2 linked regions of the Ovis aries genome follow. The protein of the gene in region 1 interacts with the protein of each later gene in a biochemical or structural test. Links are inferred from orthologs where the notes say so. Each region holds a gene or a part of one and is shown in the gene's direction. Other genes may lie near its edges.

The links.
Region 2: of the proteins of H1-5 (region 1) and PRKCA, one has a biochemical effect on the other in vitro, tested with the Homo sapiens proteins (2 studies listed by BioGRID). The link is inferred for Ovis aries from reciprocal best matches to the Homo sapiens genes H1-5 and PRKCA.

What each region holds. Positions count from the first base shown.
Region 1 is NC_056073.1:29,961,329-29,971,721, forward strand, and holds H1-5 (histone H1.5), read left to right. Parts: upstream 1-5,562; 5' UTR 5,563-7,954; coding exon 7,955-8,635; 3' UTR 8,636-8,812; downstream 8,813-10,393. Other genes in the region: uncharacterized protein LOC101120961, read left to right, coding at 3,622-3,907, 5,179-5,562; histone H2A type 1, read right to left, coding at 9,086-9,478; histone H2B type 1-C/E/F/G/I, read left to right, coding at 9,783-10,163. UniProt on the Homo sapiens protein: Histone H1 protein binds to linker DNA between nucleosomes forming the macromolecular structure known as the chromatin fiber. Histones H1 are necessary for the condensation of nucleosome chains into higher-order structured fibers.
Region 2 is NC_056064.1:61,841,101-61,851,457, forward strand, and holds the start of PRKCA (protein kinase C alpha type), read left to right. Parts: upstream 1-4,342; 5' UTR 4,343-4,445; coding exon 4,446-4,618; intron 4,619-6,883; coding exon 6,884-6,915; intron 6,916-10,357. UniProt on the Homo sapiens protein: Calcium-activated, phospholipid- and diacylglycerol (DAG)-dependent serine/threonine-protein kinase that is involved in positive and negative regulation of cell proliferation, apoptosis, differentiation, migration and adhesion, tumorigenesis, cardiac hypertrophy, angiogenesis, platelet function and inflammation, by directly phosphorylating targets such as RAF1, BCL2, CSPG4, TNNT2/CTNT, or activating signaling cascade involving MAPK1/3 (ERK1/2) and RAP1GAP.

The sequences.
Region 1 (10,393 bases):
GGTTTTGCAATTCTGGCTCCAAGTCATGAGCAGACACAAGCAGGGCAGAGTGGGGACTTCACTGGTAGCCTGCAGTTAGGATTCAGTGCTTTCACTGCTGTGGCTCAGGTTTGATCCCTACTCAGGCAAATAAGATCCCAAAAGATGCAGGGCAAAAAATAAATAATAGAAAGTGTAATAAGATGAAGAGGCCAGTAGATTCTATACCCTCAAATTTCTTTAACTGAAATAATACATGGAGGCGTAGATGCTTGAGGAACCCTTGAGAATGAAAGCAAGGATGGTGATTGCTCTGGGGTAGGACCAAGGAAGAAGGAACATTTTGTGCTTGCCTGTCTCATAATTAAGATTCTGACTTGGTAAGGCCAATTTGTGTTGAGAAGTAGGACTCTATGGAATGGAAGAAAAGATTTGAGAAGTTAAGCTAATGGAGTAGAAAACATTCTAAAGGACTAGTGTTGGATTAGTGTGTGTCTGCATGTGTCTCTGTGTGTTTATGCGTAAATATATGTGTTTGGAGGACAGGAGAAATGAGAATTAAGAAAGGCACTAATTATTAGTAAATAAACTAACTTTGAATGAAGAACAATGCAAGAACAATAATGATAGCCTATGGTGAACAGTCTTGGATTTGTGATCTCCAAAGAATTAGCTTCAGGACCAGGGACCAGGCTTGATCACTCAGAGCTTTTGTATAGCAGAAGTTTTATTACAGTGAAAAAAAACAAAGAAAGATTCTGACATAGACATCAGAAGGGGGATAGAGAGTGCCCCACTTGCTAGTCTTATCAAGGCCTTATATACTTTTACCAGACCCACTCCCACAACATACATCTTAAATCAACAAGGTTAATCAGAAGGTTCTTGTTAAGAAGGAGAAACATGTCCTCGAGCAACATACATTGTTGTTATATACTCATATGGCAGAAGTCCTCTAGAAGGAGGTCACAATTAACCCCACCATAGAGCCAGAAGTTACACAGGACTGGGGAAACAGACTCTTGGAGGGCACAAACAAAATTCTGTGTGCACCAGGACTCAGGAGAAAGGAGCGGACCCAAACTTACCTGTGAGTGTCCAGGAGTCTGGCGGAGGCATGGGTTGGCGGTGGCCTGCTGCAGGGTCGGGGGCAGCAATGCATGCATGGGACCTTTTGAAGGAGGTCACCATTATCTTCATAACAGGGAGGGAACACAGCCCTGCCATCAACAGAAAATTGGATAAAAGATTTACTGAGCATGGCCCCGCCCATCAGAACAAAATCCCGTTCCCGCCTCAGTCAGTTGCTCCCATCAGGAAGCTTCCATAAGCCTCTTATCCTTATCTATCAGAGGGACAAGACAATGAAAAAACCACGGTCACAGAAAACTAACCAATCTGATCACATGGACCACAGCCTTGTCTAACTCAATGAAACTATAAAGCCATGTCATGTAGGGCCACCCAAGATAGACAAGACATGGTGGAGAGTTCTGACAAAACGTGGTCCACTGGAGAAGGTAATGGCAAGCTACTTCAGTATTCTTGCCTTGAGAACCCCATGAACAGTATGAAAAGGCAAAAAGATAGGACACTGAAAGATGAACTCCCCAGGTCAGGTAGGTGGCCAATATGCTACTGGAGATCAGTGGAGAAATAACTCCAGAAAGAATAAAGAGACAGAGCCAATGCAAAAACAACACCCGGTTGTGGATGTGACTGGTGATGGAAGTAAAGTCCAATGTTGTAAAGAGCAATATTGCATAGGAACCTGGAATGTTAAATTCCAAATCAAGGCAAATTGGAACTGGTCAAAAAGGAGATGGCAAGAGTGAATGTAGACATTTTAGGAATCAGTGAACTAAAATGGACTGGAATGAGTGAATTTAACTCAGATGACCATTATGTCTACTACTGTGAACAAGAATCCCTTAGAAGAAATGGAGTAGCCATCACAGTAAACAAGAGTCCAAAATGCAGTACTTGGATGCAATCTGAAAAACAACAAAATGATATGTGTTCATTTCCAAGGCAAACCATTCAATATCACAGTAATCCAAGTCTGTGCCCCTACCAGTAATGCTGAAGAAGCTGAAGTTGAACGGTTCTGTGAAGACCTACAAGACCTTTTAGAACTAACACCCCCCAAAGATGTTCTTTTCATTATAGCGGACTGGAATGTGAAAGTAGGAAGTCAAGAGATACCTGGAGTAACAGGCAAATTTGGCCTTGGAGTATGAAACAAAGCAGGTCAGAGGCTAACAAAATTTTGCCAAGATAATGCACTGGTCATAGCAAACACCCTCTTCAACAACTGCTAGGTAACAAGGCAGAAAGCTGCCTGGTTTTTCTGTAGTTGCAAGGCAAGAGGATTGTTGAGATTACCCACCCAATAACATCTTCAAGGTTAAGCACTCAGATTCCATTAGTAAACAGGAGCAGGAAGAAGAAGAAAGCCAGACAAGTAACTCAATAAGAAATGGATTAACTAATAGAAGATGGGCATGCAATCTTTTGCACATATAGTATTTACAGAGATTATAAAGTAAATTTGGAGAATAATATTAGGTATTTGTTCAAGTAGTAAATAATCAACCACACATATTTAAAAGAGAAAAGGTAAACATTTCTGAAGCTCGGAAAAAGAGAAAAAGTAAATGTGTTATGCGTTAGAGAAGGCATTTTCTCGGAGAAATGAAATCTGCTACAGACAAGCCAGGGCTCGAAAGGTCATTTCAAATAGCCAGGAGTCAAGGAAACATTTGAAAGTTTTTTATTTTTTAAATTCCTGGAATAAAATCGTTCCTGGTCTTTACATTCAGCGCTTTATTAAAGACACTATTAAAGGCACAGAATTTTGGGGTGCACTTGATTTCTCAATTCAAGAAAAGAGAGATAGAGGAAGGTGGTGATGGCGGGGGTGGGGGGGGGGGGGGGGTGAGTAGAAGGTAGGGGGAGGACAGGAAAGGAGTCCCTGAGAGGATTTTCATTTACTCATGGACTCGCCAGAGGAAACGGCGGGTAAAAACTGAGCTTCCTCAATTTCCTGAAGTGTTTTTAAGTGAAACGAAAAACATTTGAAAAAAAAAAAAAAAAACAGTTCTACCAGCAAAAATGTGGCAGCTAGTGAGGGAAGAGAAAGGAAGATGATAGGATGAGTAAAAGAAAAGGAAAAGGGGAGACCACTGCTGAGAACGATGAGGAAGCCCATCCTGAAGTTATCTATAATCAGGCTCTCAGCCACGAGGTTTCACAAAAACCCCCAAAAGACTACAATCACGGCTCTCGAGATGGGCCATTCATTCCGGAAGCCACAACTCGCTAGTACGATCAATGCCCAAGAGAAAGCATAAAGAGAAAAGGGCAGCAAGTCCTAACTCAAACAAAGGAATGGTTTTCCAGTTGTGGGCACGGGCAACACAATGTATTGTAGAAGCTGAAGAGAGGGATTTTATTAGGACCATTTTCTGACTCTATTTTAAGCGCCTCTCCATTTTGCGGAAAACGTGGGCCGGGCTTCAGGTCTGGAAACTCCCAGAGGCGTCACGGCTGGTCTGAGCGGTTCCCAATCAGGTCCGAAACATCACTATATAAAACACGGCCTTGGGGAACTATAGCGCCGTAGCGAGTGTGGTTGCGGATATGTCTGGACGCGGCAAGGGCGGTAAGGGCCTCGGAAAGGGGGGTGCTAAGCGCCACCGCAAGGTTCTTCGCGACAACATCCAGGGCATTACCAAGCCCGCTATTCGTCGTCTGGCTCGTCGTGGTGGCGTGAAGCGGATCTCTGGTCTCATCTACGAGGAGACTCGTGGGGTGCTAAAGGTGTTCCTGGAAAATGTGATTCGGGACGCGGTCACATACACCGAGCATGCCAAGCGCAAAACTGTCACCGCCATGGATGTGGTCTATGCGCTGAAACGTCAGGGACGTACCCTTTACGGCTTCGGCGGTTAAAGCTGCGTTTAACTGTCATACTTTAAAGGCCCTTCTTAGGGCCACCCACTAAGTCTGGTAAAGAGCTGTGGGCGCTAAAGTCGTTAGGTTGTGTGGGAAAGATTAAGGTCTCGTATAATTTGCGTATGGTCACAACCTCCAGTCCTTCGTCAGTATTTCCATCACCAGCAGTGGCAGATTTTCGTTTGATGTCGTTTCTTGTAAGCCAGGCAAAATGGTCTTTGTGTTCACTGCTCACACTTTAAGGGTAAATAGCTCACCGAGCAGTAAGGCTAGCAATAACAAATATGAAGTATTAAGGGGAAAAGGTAACCAAGCTTCGTTTTAGTTAGCTATTACAGAGTTCTGGAACAGAACGTGGTGACTGGATTGACTTTAACTTGCCTCCACTTAAACACTCGTTTCATGTTATTGAAGCTTGTCAAATCATGACAGCTTATATCTAAAATAATGCAAGGTTCTCTAGATTAGCTGTCCCCAACCTTTTTGGCGGCAGCGACCGGTTTTGTGGAAGACAGTTTTCGACGCGCCTGGGTGGTGGATGGTTTCGGGATGATTTAAGCCATGTTAGAAGCTCCAATAGTTTGGCCGCGTCATGCGAAGAGCCCACTCATCGGAAAATATCCTGATGCTGAGAAAGATTGAGGGCAGGAGGTGAAGGGGGAGACAGAAGATGAGATAGTATCACTGACTCGGACATGAGTTTGAGCAAACTCCAAGGGATAGTGAAGAACTGTGAACCCTGGCATGCTGTAGTCCATGGGGTCGCAAAGAGTAGGGACACGGCTGAGCAACTGAAGAGCGACGACTATTTATTGTGCACTTTATTTCTCTGGAGTAGGAAACGGCAAACCACTTGAGTATTCTTACCTGGAAAATCCCATGGACAGAGGAGGCTGGTAGCCTACAGTCCATGGGATCACAGATTCGGACACTGAGAGACTAGCACACTTTATTCTTACTTTTATTTCATCAGTTCCACCTCAGATCACCAGACAGTTAGATCCCGGAGGTTGGGGACCCCTACTCTAGATGACGAATTTAAGAATTTGGATACATCCTGCAGGCTTCTTTAAAAAGCCAACAAGATATTTCCTATCTCACCACGTAATCCTAGAGTCCGAAGAAGAGGCGGGACAATGCTTCCTAAACCCAGAAAGAATGGGCGTGGAAGGGCGGGGTAGGCGAGGGAGCAGCAGTTTATTGTCCAATCAAGATGCGAGGTTCGCTATATATTTTGGGAAGACCGAGTGCTCACATCACTGTTAGGTAGTTGGCACTACTTACCAATGGCTCGCACTAAGCAGACGGCTCGCAAGTCCACCGGCGGCAAGGCGCCGCGCAAACAGCTCGCCACCAAGGCGGCTCGCAAGAGCGCGCCGGCCACCGGCGGCGTGAAGAAGCCGCACCGCTACCGGCCCGGCACGGTAGCTCTGCGCGAGATCCGCCGTTACCAGAAGTCCACGGAGCTGCTGATCCGCAAGCTGCCGTTCCAGCGGCTGGTGCGCGAGATCGCGCAAGACTTCAAGACTGACCTGCGCTTCCAGAGCTCAGCCGTGATGGCGCTGCAGGAGGCGTGCGAGGCCTATCTGGTGGGGCTCTTCGAGGACACCAACCTGTGTGCCATCCACGCCAAGCGCGTCACCATCATGCCCAAGGACATCCAGCTTGCCCGCCGCATCCGTGGGGAGAGAGCATAAATTTAGTGGCTCCTCCAAGTAACACATACCACCAAAGGCTCTTTTAAGAGCCCCTCAATTGTCACCAAAAGGGAGCTGTTCATTGTCGAGTATACATAATTACCAGCAAATGAAAAACGCCATGAGTTTTAAATGGAACGTATCGTGGACCCAAATATTACTGCCACGGCAATACTATGCAGAAGTGGCTGTATCCTGGGCTCCGAATCAGTCTATTGAACTGTTTCTCGGGGAAGCATTTTTTTAAAGAGAATATTTAATCCTTGGCTAAAGGAAGTGACTGAAAGTGGTCCATTACTTCTTAATTAGTGCTTCCTGTGGATAGTTCTGTAATGACAAACGAAGCGCCTTTCCCCCACCTTTTGCCAAGTGCCATACAACTTAAGATAATGTGTCTCCTGTCTCCCTGTTGCAGGAAGAAATATTGGTCGAGGTTCACAGCAGCCAGTTGCCCAATTACTCAGCTCTCTGCGACTCACCTACAACAGCTGTAAAATGTGGCAAATGAATTAGTTTGTAGACCATACTAAGACGTTCCTGGCACTAAATGCTCAATGAATGTTAGCTATATTATGCCCTTCTTTTGTAAAGCAGACACCGCCACCGCCCCCTCCCCTCCCAGCCTTCCCAAGTTTTCTGAAAGTTTTGTGATTGAAACAGTGGGAAATGCTTGATTGAATCATTTTCTTAAGATCTCCTTTTCTTTAGATCTGGGTTTGCATAATTCTGAAAAAGGCAGACCTGTAAGAAAAACATGAACTATCTGAGGAGGAATTCAAACCGTGAAAGCCATAAAGTAAATATTTTAGGTTTTGCAGGTAACATATAGTCTCTGTCACATCTTAAAGATATTCTTAAAAATACAGAAACTTACCTTGACCATACAAAAATAAGCCAAATAAGATTTGGCCATAAGAGGCTATAGTTTCAACTCCAGGAACCCCTGAAGACATGAAGTGTCAGCCTACAGGTTTTCACAAGAACTGACTGTTGACTGTATGAGAGACCCTAATCATCATTGCATCCAGGGACAAAATCCTCTCCAAGCTTCCTCCTCCCCCAAAATAACAAACATCACCCTCCATTTCACCTCAAAGTTACTGCCTCAGGGCCCTTGGATGTTAATGTTTTCCTGAATTCTCTTGAACTTATATAACCTCCACTCACTCCCTTACTATCCAACCCACACTTATAGTCAGAAGCCAATTATTTCACTGAAAGATACAGGTCTATCTTCATTAAATATACAGAAATATCCACACTGAGGTCCTACAAAAGAAGGTGTTCCTGACCATTCAATTTGTTAAATGTTGGTGGAAATGGAGTTTGAGGGAGAGCAGTGGAAAGTGCTGAAGCTCCAAAGGAGGAAAACAGCTTCTAAGAGAGGGAGAGAGACCCATGCCATCTAAACAGCCTTTCCGCTGTTGCTGGAAGCCCTTGAATAATTTTTAGCCGATTTCAGAGGGGTTTTTTTTCTAAAATACATTTCTGGGTTAAGAAATTTTCTTTCTCATTTTAATGGATTTGCTTACAAATTAAAGGGAGAAAGCTTCTCAATCAAAAACAGACTAAATTTGTTTGAATTTGAAGACAGGTCATTGGATTCTGAAGCCAAAGCAATTTCTATTCCTCATGGAAGAAGTCACTTTGACTACAGAACTAGTCCGAGCCGCGAAATCCCATTCTCTAAAAACAATGGCATCTGGAAACTCCGTGGAAGACAAAACCGATTTTTAAAGTAAAATCTATATGCTTAATTTGTGGCTGTAGGCAACTGGCCATCCTGCACCTGTGTTACTTGCTGCCGTTCGAAGCAAAGTTTAAGCAAAACCAAGGAACCTAGTGTCTTTCCTCTTGCAAAAATCGAAGGCCGAACTTGGCGACAATGCCTTTTAAAAAACATTCACTTGATACTTAACTAAAACTTTATTGCAATATGCAACTACGTAGCTCGATGCCTTACGTCCGGTGAATCTATAGGAAAAGCTGAAGGGATTTTTAAAAATATCTTTCATTAACTGCGCGTGAGTCATAAAAACACAAACAAGTATGTGACCTTGGAGGCTGTTTTCCTCCTCTGAAGCTTCAAAGAGTCAAATTCTGTACCACTGTTTTTAACATTTAATCAAATTTTGGGGACTAACAAACACAGTTTGGGAGTCCAACCACGACAGGCGGCTGCCTGAGGGCGGTGGATCGGACGTTCCACCAATCACAGGGCAGCACCGACTTATATAAACCCGGGCCGGCGCAAGACAGCATTGCAAAACTTGCTCTTTGGAATTTGAGTCTCTCTGCTTCTAGCAGGTTCTCCCATCGCAATGTCGGAAACCGCTCCTGCTGAGACGGCCGCCCCGGCGCCGGTGGAGAAGTCTCCTGCCAAGAAGAAAACAACCAAGAAGACCGCGAGCGGTGGAGCGGCGAAGCGCAAGGCTACCGGGCCCCCAGTTTCCGAGCTGATCACTAAGGCTGTCGCCGCCTCCAAAGAGCGCAATGGCCTTTCTTTGGCTGCGCTCAAGAAAGCGCTGGCAGCCGGGGGCTACGATGTGGAGAAGAACAATAGCCGCATCAAGCTGGGTCTCAAGAGCCTAGTGAGCAAGGGCACACTGGTGCAGACCAAGGGCACCGGGGCTTCCGGCTCTTTCAAGCTCAACAAGAAGGCGGCTGCTGGGGAAGCCAAGCCCAAAACCAAGAAGGCGGGGGCTGCGAAAGCGAAGAAACCCGCAGGGGCCACCCCTAAGAAACCCAAGAAGGCTGCGGGAGCGAAAAAAGCCGTTAAGAAGACGCCTAAGAAGGCGAAAAAGCCCGCGGCCTCTGGTGTCAAAAAAGTGGCCAAGAGCCCCAAGAAGGCCAAAACAGCGGCAAAGCCAAAGAAGGCTGCTAAAAGCCCCGCGAAGCCCAAGGCAGTGAAGCCAAAGGCGGCGAAACCCAAAACCTCCAAGCCTAAGGCAGCAAAACCCAAAGCTGCAAAGGCGAAGAAGGCGGCTCCTAAGAAGAAGTAGAAAGTTGGCGCTTGAGAAGCAAACCCCAAAGGCTCTTTTCAGAGCCACCCAGAGATCTCTGGAAACAGCTGTGCACTTTGATCTATTTTCTAGTCGCTCTCCAAGCCAATATTCCTTACCGCCAATATTCCTTCCCGTTAATCCATTTTCCCCCTACCAATAAAATCATAGAACTTACTTAACTCTTGAGTAAGGGCGTCTTGGACTGCATGCAGTGCATGGGGTCGCGCTTTTCACTTTCATGGTAAGTAACATCTAGTGTTCTTGCCAGGATAATCCCAAGGAAAGGCCCGCCTGGTGGGTTGCCCATTTATGGGGTCGCAGAGTCAGACACGACCGAAGCAACTTGGCAGGCTAAGGTTAATTAATACTACTGTCCCAGCTCCTCAGCAGAAAAAGTAGGTGGCTCTGAAAAGAGCCTTTGGTTTGGAAGGCGTGGCTCTTGACCCCTCACTTGCCCTTGGCCTTGTGATGGCTCTCGGTCTTCTTGGGCAGCAGCACCGCCTGGATGTTGGGCAGGACACCACCCTGAGCGATGGTGACTTTACCCAGCAGCTTGTTGAGCTCCTCGTCGTTGCGGATGGCCAGCTGCAGGTGACGCGGGATGATGCGTGTCTTCTTGTTGTCCCGGGCTGCGTTGCCTGCCAGCTCCAGGATCTCGGCTGTCAGGTATTCCAGCACCGCCGCCAGGTACACCGGGGCCCCGGCCCCGACCCGCTCGGCGTAGTTTCCTTTGCGGAGCAGCCGGTGCACTCGGCCTACCGGGAACTGGAGCCCGGCCCGCGAGGAGCGGGTTTTGGCCTTGGCGCGAGCTTTGCCGCCCTGTTTACCACGTCCAGACATACTACAACTCTTCAAGACTACACCCGAAGAGACTAAAGTAAAAGAAAACTGCACATTTTATAGCTGCAGTTGGGCGCGAAAAAGAAGCTATTCCATTGGGTAAAGTTGCAGTTAAAGTTGCAGAGTAAAGTGTAGGTCCTTAAAATGAGCGTTTTCATTGGATAAAATTGAATGTGATGTCACTACGAGTATTCACCAATCAGACACAGAACGGTACTAAATCTAATTTGCATATTGCATGATAAAATAGACGCGCTGAGAGATCCTTCACTTTTTTTCTGCGATCTTGTAATTATCGTCAGTCATGCCTGAGCCAGCCAAGTCCGCTCCGGCCCCGAAGAAGGGCTCCAAGAAGGCGGTGACCAAGGCGCAGAAGAAGGACGGCAAGAAGCGCAAGCGCAGCCGCAAGGAGAGCTACTCCGTGTACGTGTACAAGGTGCTGAAGCAGGTCCACCCGGACACCGGCATCTCGTCCAAGGCCATGGGCATCATGAATTCGTTCGTGAACGATATTTTCGAGCGCATCGCGGGCGAGGCGTCGCGCCTGGCTCATTACAACAAGCGCTCGACCATCACATCCAGGGAGATCCAGACGGCTGTGCGCCTGCTGCTTCCCGGAGAACTGGCCAAGCACGCCGTGTCTGAGGGCACCAAGGCCGTCACCAAGTATACCAGCTCCAAGTGAGCCACTGACTTCTTGATCAGACCCCAAACACTTCCAAAGGCTCTTTTCAGAGCCATTCACGGTTTCCAAAGAGAACTGGCACTTAGTTTACCTAACTTTAGAAGTAGGTAAAAGCCGTATTGGGCTTCTCCGGTGGCTCAGCGGCGAAGAATCTACCTGTAATGCAGGAGCCGCAGGGAGATGCAGGTTCGATCCCTTAGTTGGAAGGATCCGCTGGAAAAGGGCATGGC
Region 2 (10,357 bases), on another chromosome or scaffold:
CCACCCAGAGAGAGTGACTTAAATGAACATTTGCCATGTATGTCCCTGTATACACCTGTGTGTACACGCAAAAGCTTATTTAGAGGGTGCACACGGGGTGCCCCAGTATTCACCTGTGTGTACACAAACAAGCATATTTAGAGCATACAGACGTGGTGCCCCGTGTACATCTGTGTGTACACGCACAAGCATGTGTGGAGCATACGGACGTGGCTCTGCATGTGCGCTCGGTCACTTCGTCATGCCTGACTCTTGCAAGCCCATGCGCTGTGGCAGGCACTGTGCACTGCGGCCCACCAGGCCCCTCTGTGCGTGGAATTCTCCAGGCAAGAATCCTGGAGCGGGTTCCCATTTCCTAGTCCAGGGGCTCTTCCTGTCTCAGGGGTAGAGCCACACCTCCTGCACTGGCATGCGGGTTCTCTACCACTGAGCCGCCCGGGAAGCCCAGATGTGGGCGCCCAGACATCCAGGACCGGCATCTCTGAGCACTGTTCCACATCCTGCTCCCTTCACTCACCAGGGAGCCACGGATGCCTTAAGACGCAGCATATTCACTCAGGGCTTGATGATAGTTTTCTTTGATGCTTTCCAAGAGTCTGGTCCAGGCAGCACCTCTGCAAAGAGTGTCAAGCTTACTCCTCAGAGTCAGGGATCACAGAGGAGGGTTCTCACAAACCCCACATTCAGTCTAGCGTCCCTGCTCTCCCGCGCCTTCCCCAGGAAAACAGCAGACTCTAAACTCATCACTACCACCACGTCTCACTGACACTCCCCCTGCACCGGGCTCTCTCTTTCTGGAAACCCTTCCCTTTTAGTGGCCCCATGGACACCCTGCCAGGTGGGCTGCAGGGGCTGAATCCGAATCTGGTCTCTGTACCGGCCACGGAATTAAATCTCAGAGACAGAGCCTGGGGTGATGCAGGGCAGTTTCATCGCTTTGCCAGGCAGAGGGTGCCACAGTGGCCTCGTGCCCTCAGAAATGGTGTAAGACCTGGAAGGGGCGGGGGGGGAGCTTTATAGTAACGGCTCACAGAGGGCGCGATCAGCCTGCAGGCATCCTTCTGATGGACTGGTGCTGGGGTGACCAGGAGTCGGAACCATTGTTGCAGAGACAGAGTAAAAAGAGGAAGCAGCTTTCACTTTCCCGATCCTGAGAGCAAAGAAGATAAAGAGAAGACATAGATAAAGAGGCCTGAACACTCCTAGTTGTTTTTTTTTTTTACTTTAACTGCTAACTCTGCATGTCTGTATCTAGCTTTACTTTTCTGCATCCCCAGTGTTTATCCTTACAACACCCGTCCCCTTGTAGCTGCACATCAGAAAGAAGGCCACAGAGCCGCCGGACAGCCAGACCCAACTATCGGGCTACTGATGCCGGCCTGTGAAACAACGCAACATGAAGACATCAAGAGCCAAACACCTTTACTCCTACAGCTGGGCGCCTAAGCCCTTCTGGTCCCCATTTCTTGGTTACAGGAAAGAGGCTTCATTCAGCCCGAATGACCTTCCCTGAGCTCCAACAGGTAAGTTCAAATAGATGCTGACTAGGGAAGGGAGGGGAGAAGCTAGCTACTGCAAGCCCTATTTTCATGGAAGCCCCTGGGCTCCTCATGGGGGGCACAGTTCTTGAGCCACGAGCCTACCGTGTTGCCCTCTCTGCAGCTGAGGATTGAAGCCACCTTTCTATTTCCTCCAAACTTTGTCTCCATATTTTTTCATTCAGCTTTGGTGGGCAGAGAAAGCCAAGATTTGGGCCAGCAACACCATCAACCTTCTGGTTCTAACCGGTCTGGGATCTAAGTGCTTGCAGGTAGCATACGGATAACTTCTCCCACCTGGTGGGGGTTTCCGCACCTTCAAACCAGCTCAAAGATAGTGTTCTGGGTAACCCTTGAGGGTGGGGGGGACAGAGACCCTGCCCCACAGCTGCTCTGCTTCTCTAGGCTTCCTCCCTTGTTTCTACACCCCCTCCCTTCCCTGCTGCTGCTGCTAAGTCGCTTTAGTCGTGTCCAACTCTGTGCGACCCCATAGACGGCAGCCCATGAGGCTCCCTCGTCCCTGGGACTCTCCAGGCAAGAACACTGGAGTGGGTTGCCATTTCCTTCTCCCTTCCCTTCCCTAATCAGCATTTATTTGAACTTACCTGTTGGAGCTCAGGGAAGGTCATTCGGGCTGAATGAAGCCTCTTTCCTGTAACCAAGAAATGGGGACCAGAAGGGCCTAGGCGCCCAGGAGCCCCGCAGGGCCCGGCTGGGTTTCAGGGCCTTGTGTGGCCCGCCCCTGCTCCTTGCTGGGGTGGCGCTGCACAGCTCAAGGACCCGCCCCCCGCAGGTGCATCCCGAAGCCGCCCCGCAACTGAGCTCAGCTGTAGGCAACTGATCACGTGCGCTGTCATCACTCAAGTAACTTCAGTTTGTTCTCTCCCTACTCACAGGGACCAACAGTAATAATGGAGGCAAGAAAGCAAAACTACAGCCCGAAAGAAATGAGAGACTGTCTCTGGTCTCTCCACCCCCGAGAGCGGGCTCCCCTCCCTGCAAGGCCGTTTCGGTTCTTCTCTCGCCTCCCGCTCCCTCTGCTCAGACATCACTCTCACCTACTGCCCCTCCTCCAAGCTCTCCCATCTCTTTCTTCCACCTTTACCTCAGAACTTCAGGGAAACAGAAAGAAGCTTGTCTTCATACAAGGGGTGATGGCCTGTCTTAGATCCAGGTGGTTTTGAGGCAAGAATTTGTGTTTCTTTCTACCATCAATTACAAGTCCCGTGATTTTCCCATGTAACTTACAAGCATTAAGCAATACACGACCGTGCTTGAGACGGTAATAGTGTTTTTCGGAGAGCTTGTTCTATTTTCCTACGTTCCCTGCTTTTCATTCCTTCCCTTGCATCTTCTTTTTTTTGCTTCCTTGAACTGGCGTGCACGCTGCTTCACTTCAGTCGCGTTCGACTCTGCGATCCCATGGACTGTAGCCCGCCAGGATCCTGTCCCTGAGATTCTCCTGGCAAAAACACGAGCGGGTTGCCATGCCCCCCTCCAGGGGGATCTTCCTGACCCAGGGATGGAACCTGCGCCTCTTGTGTCTCCTGCACTGGCAGGAGTTCTTGACCACTAGTCCCACCCGGGAAGCCCCGCCCCCTTCCACTCGGGCCCCGCCAAAAGTGGAGAAGTTTCTGACCAGACTAGCCGGCAGGTGCAATGTTCTTAAGCTCCAAGAACATTGGTCGGAAACATTGTGAGTGAGCGCTGGAAGTACACGCCCTTTAAGGGCGGGTCAATCGCTTACCCCTGTCAAAACAAAAGACATTCCTACCAACAGGCGTTCAACTGAGCAATCTTAAAAGAAATGGAACCCTACTTGGCCTGTGTACCATAAGACAGCATAGATCTTAGGAAAGGTTTCTTCCTTCCTTCCATCTCTAGTTCTTTTCCTATCTTCTTGAAGAATTCCACATATTCCTTTCCATACATGCGTTAATTTCTGATCTGAGCGAATCTGACAACGAAATAAAACAATAATGAAACGTTTCCCTCATGTATTTTAGCATCCTCGGGGCAGAGCTAACGAGTATTCAGCAAGTGACTAGTCGGTCCGGCCCCACGCGCGTGCTTCGCCGGGCCGTGCCAGCCACGCTTTCACGGGGCAGTTTCACTCGGCAGTTTGCAAACGAACTGGCTGCGCTCGGCACCTGCCGGTGGTCATCAGCCTTAGGCTGCAAAACCGTGTCTAAATGGAGGCTCTGGGCTGGTAAAGTCAAGAAGACCTGATCACCCACGCTGTAAGCGTGGTACCCAACGGGTAACGGGGTGAACAGCCAGGACAGGTCCTCCAGCCGTCCCGAGACATCAGACGCGTGTACCCGGCGCGGGGCCGCCCGGCTCCGGGGCCGCAGGCGGCACAGCGTGCCGGCCCCGAGGGGCTGAGCCTCCGAGCGGCGCGGGCGTCGGTCCCGGGACGGCGCTGGGTCCTGGAAGGGGGCGCGGCCGGGGGCCGGCCCGGGACGCGGGGCTGCGCCTGGGGCGGGAGGAGCGGAGCGCGGGAGGGAGGAGCCCGGCAAACCCGGGGGAACGGGAGAGGGCGCTTCCCGGGCGGCTCGGGGGCCGCGGGGCCGCCGGCTCCCTCCGCGCGCGCCCCCGCCCTCCCGTGCGTCCCCGCCCCCTGCGCGCGCCCGCGCCGGCCCTCCCGCGCGCGCCCCCGCCCTCCCGTGCGTCCCCGCCCCCTGCGCGCGCCCGCGCCGGCCCTCCCGCGCGCCCCCGCCCCGCCCGCCGGGCCGCGCTCGGGCATGCGCGGTGGGCGGGCCGCCCCCGCCGCCCGACTAGGAAGCGCGAGCGCCGGCGCCGCCGTCAGAGCCGAGCGGCCCCAGCGAGCTCGCGGCTCCGCTCCGCTCCGCGCCCGCCCGGCTCCCGGCCGCCCGCGCCCCCCGCGGCCGGAGGCGGCGAGGGACCATGGCTGACGTCTTCCCGGCCGCCGAGCCGGCGGCGCCGCAGGACGTGGCCAACCGCTTCGCGCGCAAAGGGGCGCTGAGGCAGAAGAACGTGCACGAGGTGAAGAACCACCGCTTCATCGCGCGCTTCTTCAAGCAGCCCACCTTCTGCAGCCACTGCACCGACTTCATCTGGTGGGTGCGCGCCGGCCCTGCAGCGCCCGCGCCCGGCGGGGCCCCGCGCGGCGCCGCCGCCTCCCCGGGCCGGAGGCTCGGAGCGCGGCCCCCGAGGCTGCCCGGGCCCCGCCGCGCGCGCCGGCCTCGCCCCGCGCCGGGCCCGCGAGCCGGGGGGAGCGGCGGCAAACTGTTGAGGCGGGCGCGGGGAGGGCGGCGGCCGGCCGGCCGGCGGGGCGGGCGCGCGGGCGGCCTCTGCAGCGGACCCGGGCCTGCCCGGGGCTGCCGGCGGGCTGCGGCCGCCGAGCCCAGGTAACTTGCAGGCAGCGGGGGCCCCCGGGCCGCGCTTTCCGCGCCGCGGCTGCCGGACAGGCTGCAGGGCCTCCGATCCCGCCAAGCCGGAGGGGATCGCGCGTGTGCTTGTTTCCTGGGGAGACGCTGATGACTTTGACTGACTTTCGAAAGGTTGTGACCCCTCTCCTCCCGTTGTTTTAAGAAAGCTAAACTAGGGCAGTTCAGATGCCTCACTCGGAGAAGCACTCGCTTTTTTCCTCTTACGTTGCCAGACAACCTCCACGCATTCTGTCACTTGCTGCTGTGTGCAGGAAGCCCCCGGCCCCCCAAGTCGGAGCCGGCTGGGCCTGCTTCAGTCCCCTCCGCCGGGGGGAGCGGCGCCGGGCAGCTAACTGCCCAGCCGCTGTGTGGCTCCTGGATCTTGCGGGGCTCTTGGGAGAACGAACGCTGCTTGAATGCATCACACGGGGAAACCGTCTCCAAGGGCGAGTCCCGCAAACGTGCTAATTAATAGGTACTTAACTTCTCCCTTAAGCTCTATCTGAACCCGTCACACCTGGGGGAATCTTTAAGGGAAAGCCCCACAGATGTGCTCATAAGGTGCTTAACGTCTTCGCTTCTTTTTAGAAATCCGCTCCAAAGCACACTTAGGTAAAAAGCACAGCCACCTCTCCGAATTATTTCCGAGGTATAGTCAGCGCCTGAAGCGGTTGAGCTCCTAGGCCAATGTAGACAAGACTGCTTAAGGTCAGTTCTTGGAGCCTCAAGGCAGAGAGATTGTATTTAGTTAAGGGAAGGTCTTCGGCCTCACGTGTCAGCTGTGAAATTCCATTAAAACAGAACAGACTGCCGATTACTTTTGCAGGACGAGGGTGAGGTAGGAAAGAGGCTTGCAATCTATACATCCAGGCTTGCTGAAGACTTCCCGCTGCCATTTGTTGGCCCCTGTGAACTGATGTGGCCACCAGGCATAGCACGAAGTGGAAATGAAGACCTTGTCCTCTTCTTCCCCATAGTCAATACTCTTCTCCACTTGGCTGCAGAGCAACCCCTCGGAAGTTCCAGGAAAATACTCCCCAGCACGGTCTAGCCGTGGTTTTAATTTTTCAATTTTCTTCTCTTCTCTGCTTCCCTGGTTTACAACTCAAATATTAAAGCACTGGTATTTTAAAACTGTTTGCATTTAAATTTTTTGGGGGGGTGGGGAGTGACTAAGTTAATTATAAAGATATGTGAAGTGCTTTGTAAATTTAAAATGCTATGTAAAGCAAGAGATTATGACTCATAACCTTCTGAGAATTTTAATGTAGTTCATCCTAGTTGAAATGGTGTTTGCAATTTAATGTCCATGTCGGAGTTCTCTGCTTAGAGAGTAAATTCTCTAAAGTAATTTACAAGAGCAATATAGCTTCTGAATGTGCTTGAATGCTGTTGGTTCACAGTAAAATAAGATCATCATCTCACATGCAAACGATAGGGATGACACTGTAAAATCTGGCTCCTTTAAGCCAAAATTTAGTGTTAAGAGTGATGCTATGTGGTGATCTCTAGGTAGATAATACTTCATAACAAATGAGGAAGCCACTTGTTTGTTTTTGGGGTGAAAAGATTTTCAGTTGGTCTTTAGGGACCAAATTCAGCCATCTTTGTGGATTTGGTTTTTTAACCATAAACTTCTTCTTGTTGCTTGAATATTGTAGCCAACAACTTTATAGTCATGTTCTTAAATTAAGTACTGATAAAATGTTAGAAAAAACAAAAACAAAAGCCTGGCAAGAACCTTGAATATGTTGAAATGAGTTCAGTGAGACTTTGGAGGCCAGATCTTTTCAAAGTTGACTTGACTACACTCTGAGCTGTTTAGGCATGTTTTCCTGTCAAATCATTGGGTTTCATGTGCAAATCTTTACCTTTGTAGAATGCTTTGTCATATAACTGGCTTAAGATGTGGTGTCAACAGAAAATAAGAAATTTTTCTTGTTTGTTTTTCAGGGGGTTTGGGAAACAAGGCTTCCAGTGCCAAGGTAAGCTGCCATGTTGGATTTTATTTTCAAGTACAACAAGAAGTAAGCATTCCAGACAAGAACAGTGTTTCCAGTCATCTTTTATTTGATAAAAAAGCAAAAACACATTTAGATGTTTTCAAAATGTGAGGGCTGTAAACTTGGGCCTGGGGGAAGAACACCATTTGGTATTTTCTGGTACTCTGCGTATAGACCTGCCTTTTTCTTCAGGGGAATAAAACCTTCCTGTAACTTTTTTTTTTTTTTTTTTTTGCCGAGAACGTTCTTGTCAGAAACTGCTGCCTCTGTGTGGGTGTTCAGAAAAAATGGAGTCGCTTTGTGTTTGTGTGGCTCTTCTTCCTGTTCTGGCTCATCTTCTACCTAGGAACTGGGCTGGACTTCTCACTGTGGGCCATACAGCACCCTAGTAAGATGCCTGGGGGTTCCGGTGACGGATTGTCAGCCAGAATCAAGTCTGCATGTTTTAAAGGCTGCTGCATGGGGCACGTCTCTCCCTCACGTCCGTGTTGTGACAGCATCTGACACTCTTGGCTGCATCCACAGGAACGCATTTCCTCTCTGAAGGTGCATTTATCTCACACACTCCAAACGCCCAGCTTTTCATACCCTCTGTTGAAACTTTTTTTTTTTGAATGCTTTATTGCTCGTGAAGGCATCCTAGGTCATTAGCTCGCCTCACTGTCTATATTGTGTTTACTTAGTCCTGGTTACATTTCCCATCTGGGCTTCGGTTTATTAGGGCAAGTGGAAAGTACATTCTAGCCTGGAAAATATTATCCTAACGCTGTTTAATATTAAGCGCATTAGAGATACGCAGGGTGTACTCTTTATGACTTTAACATTGTGCTAGGAAGCTGGTCACGTTTCAAAACCTTCCACGCGCTGGAGAATGTGTTTCTTATATACGTTTTCTGCACATTTTTAGCTGCAGCTGGTTTATGGCATTGCCCATCAGCATTCCACTTTCCTTCACACTGTGCTTAACACCCCTGTTGAGTAAACTTATTTGGAGAGTCGCATGGAGTAATCCAGAGAGTCCTTTGGAAAAGAATGAGCGTGTGTCTCAGAGACAGAAGGAAATGCGACTCTTTCCGGTTCTCAGAGTTGTGGATCTGAGCTTCAGAGACAGCATTTGCAGTCTTTGAACATGGAGTTTAAGGATGCAACCTTGTGACTCTGGGCTAATGTGATTTCTTTCTCTTGTCATTTTTGGTAATGTACTTGGGCGGAGACCTATGGAAACTCATAAGGAAAAGTCTTTTCTAAATGTCCTAACTAATGCGCAAGAGGAAGTGGGTGTATGTCATTTAAAAAATGATCATTTTCTACAAAGAATCCAGGTTGACCCTTTTCAGACCTGCAGGTTTTGTTGTTGAAATTGGAGAGCTGGTGTGTTGACCACGGCAGGACCCACGTGGGTTCCCGGGAGCGTCGGTGGAGCTTTTAGTGGATTAGCAGGTCACTGGCCTCATGTCAGCATCGCCCCCTTTCACCTCAGTTATAATAGAAGCGATGCTCGTAGATTGTACACACACTGTATAAAAATGAAATTGTATCCTTGTTTTCTTTCCCCTCAGGCGTAACTTCAGACATCCATGCATTCACTAAATTACACATACTTTTTAAAAAGGTCTGAATTTTCAATCACTCTGATGCATTTTTCCAGCAGCAGGCAGCGGATGTGGGGAGATGCTTCTCTCTCAGAACGCCAGTTCTGCCTGATGTAGCTGCATATGTGGAGCATCAAACTGACTCACTTGTCCCTACTGAGGGACGTTTTAATTGTTTCTAAGTTCTTAGCAAATGAGGCTGTCAGTATCCTTGGGCTCTAGTATAGGCATGTCTGCAATAGATACTTAGAAGTGTGTGGATACATTTTAAACTTTAATAAGCACAGCTAAGTTGCTCTCCAGAAAGGTTCCAATTTGTATTTCTGTATCAATGTGAGAGTACCACTTTCTCTTCACTCTTAACCAGTGTTGGATAATACAAATAAATCCTCTGCCTTTTTGCTCTGATACATGAAAGGGGCTTCTTTCAAGTTTCATCTCCTGTGTGAGGTTAAGCACTTTTCCCAACACATTTTAGCCATTTTTTATCTGTCCTGTGAACTTCCTTAACATTTGAAATTGAGGATTTACAAACCAAATTACAGGAGTGAAGGTGTGATATTCTGTTTTTTTTTTTTTTGACTGGGCCACTGAGCTTGCAAGATCTGAGTTCCCTGACCGAGGACGGACCCTGTGCCCCCTGCAGTGTGGAAGCTGGGACTCCCAGGGAAGCCCCTGTGCTTGTCTTTGCTTTGAAGAGTTAGACCGGGTCCCTTTAATGAGCTACCCTATTGTATCTACACGTTAATTCACAAAAGCCGTTTCCAATATAAGTGTATCTGCAGTGAGCTAACTGCTTGTTACAACTGTCACGTGTCATCTGTATTTGACTCTGGCAGGCCTATACTAACCTGTTATCTTATTGTTGGTTGTAACTCAGATAATATTAGCTCGGGACAGTGGTGTTTTTCAGGTTTTAATTTTAATTTATTTTTAATTGGAGGGTAATTGCTTTGCCGTGTTGGCTTGGCTTCTGCCATGCGTATGCACGCCTCCCGGAACCTCCTTCCCACCTCATCCCGCCCCTGGGTTGTCACTGTTGTTTAATTGCCCAGTGGTTGCCCAGCGTTTTCCTATTTTGGTGCTCGCCACACTCTCTTTTTAAAAACGTTTTTTTGGCCACACCTCGAAGCTTGCGGGATCTTAGCTCCCTGACCAGGGGTCAGCCCTGTGCCCCTGCAGTGGAAGCATGGAACCCTGACCGGTGGGCCGCCAGGGACGTTTCTGTTGCCTCAGTCTTAACATTTGGTCATTTCAGAGTATGTTTACGTTTTCTCTCAGTGTTCCCTAAGTTAACTTCCTGTTGTCTCAGTTTGACAGACTCGTTCTTATTCAGAAGACGGACTGTTCTCGTCCGTGCCTGGCAGCACACGCCCTGGGGATGGCAGCTGGAGTCTGGGGCTGGCTTGGCACTCCTTCCCGTCGCTGAAGGAGGGGCAGTGTCTCTAGCTGCTGGTATGCAGCCTCTTGCTTTGCTCAGTAGGTGACATATTTGCAGCCAGGTTGGCTTCAGCTTGAGAGGGGCAGGCACTCCAAATGAGTCGTGTTCATGGAGTAAGATAGCCTGCAAAGCACGCGCCATCTTCCTAGTGAATGTTAAGTAAGAATTGGAAAATGAAAGAAATAAGTGAGTTTTAATCCTCCAATACTTTGGCCACCTCATGTGAAGAGTTGACTCATTGGAAAAGACTCTGATGCTGGGAGGGATTGGGGGCAGGAGGAGAAGGGGACGACCGAGGATGAGATGGCTGGATGGCATCACGGACCCGATGGACGTGAGTCTGAGTGAACTCCGGGAGTTGGTGATGGACAGGGAGGCCTGGCGTGCTGCG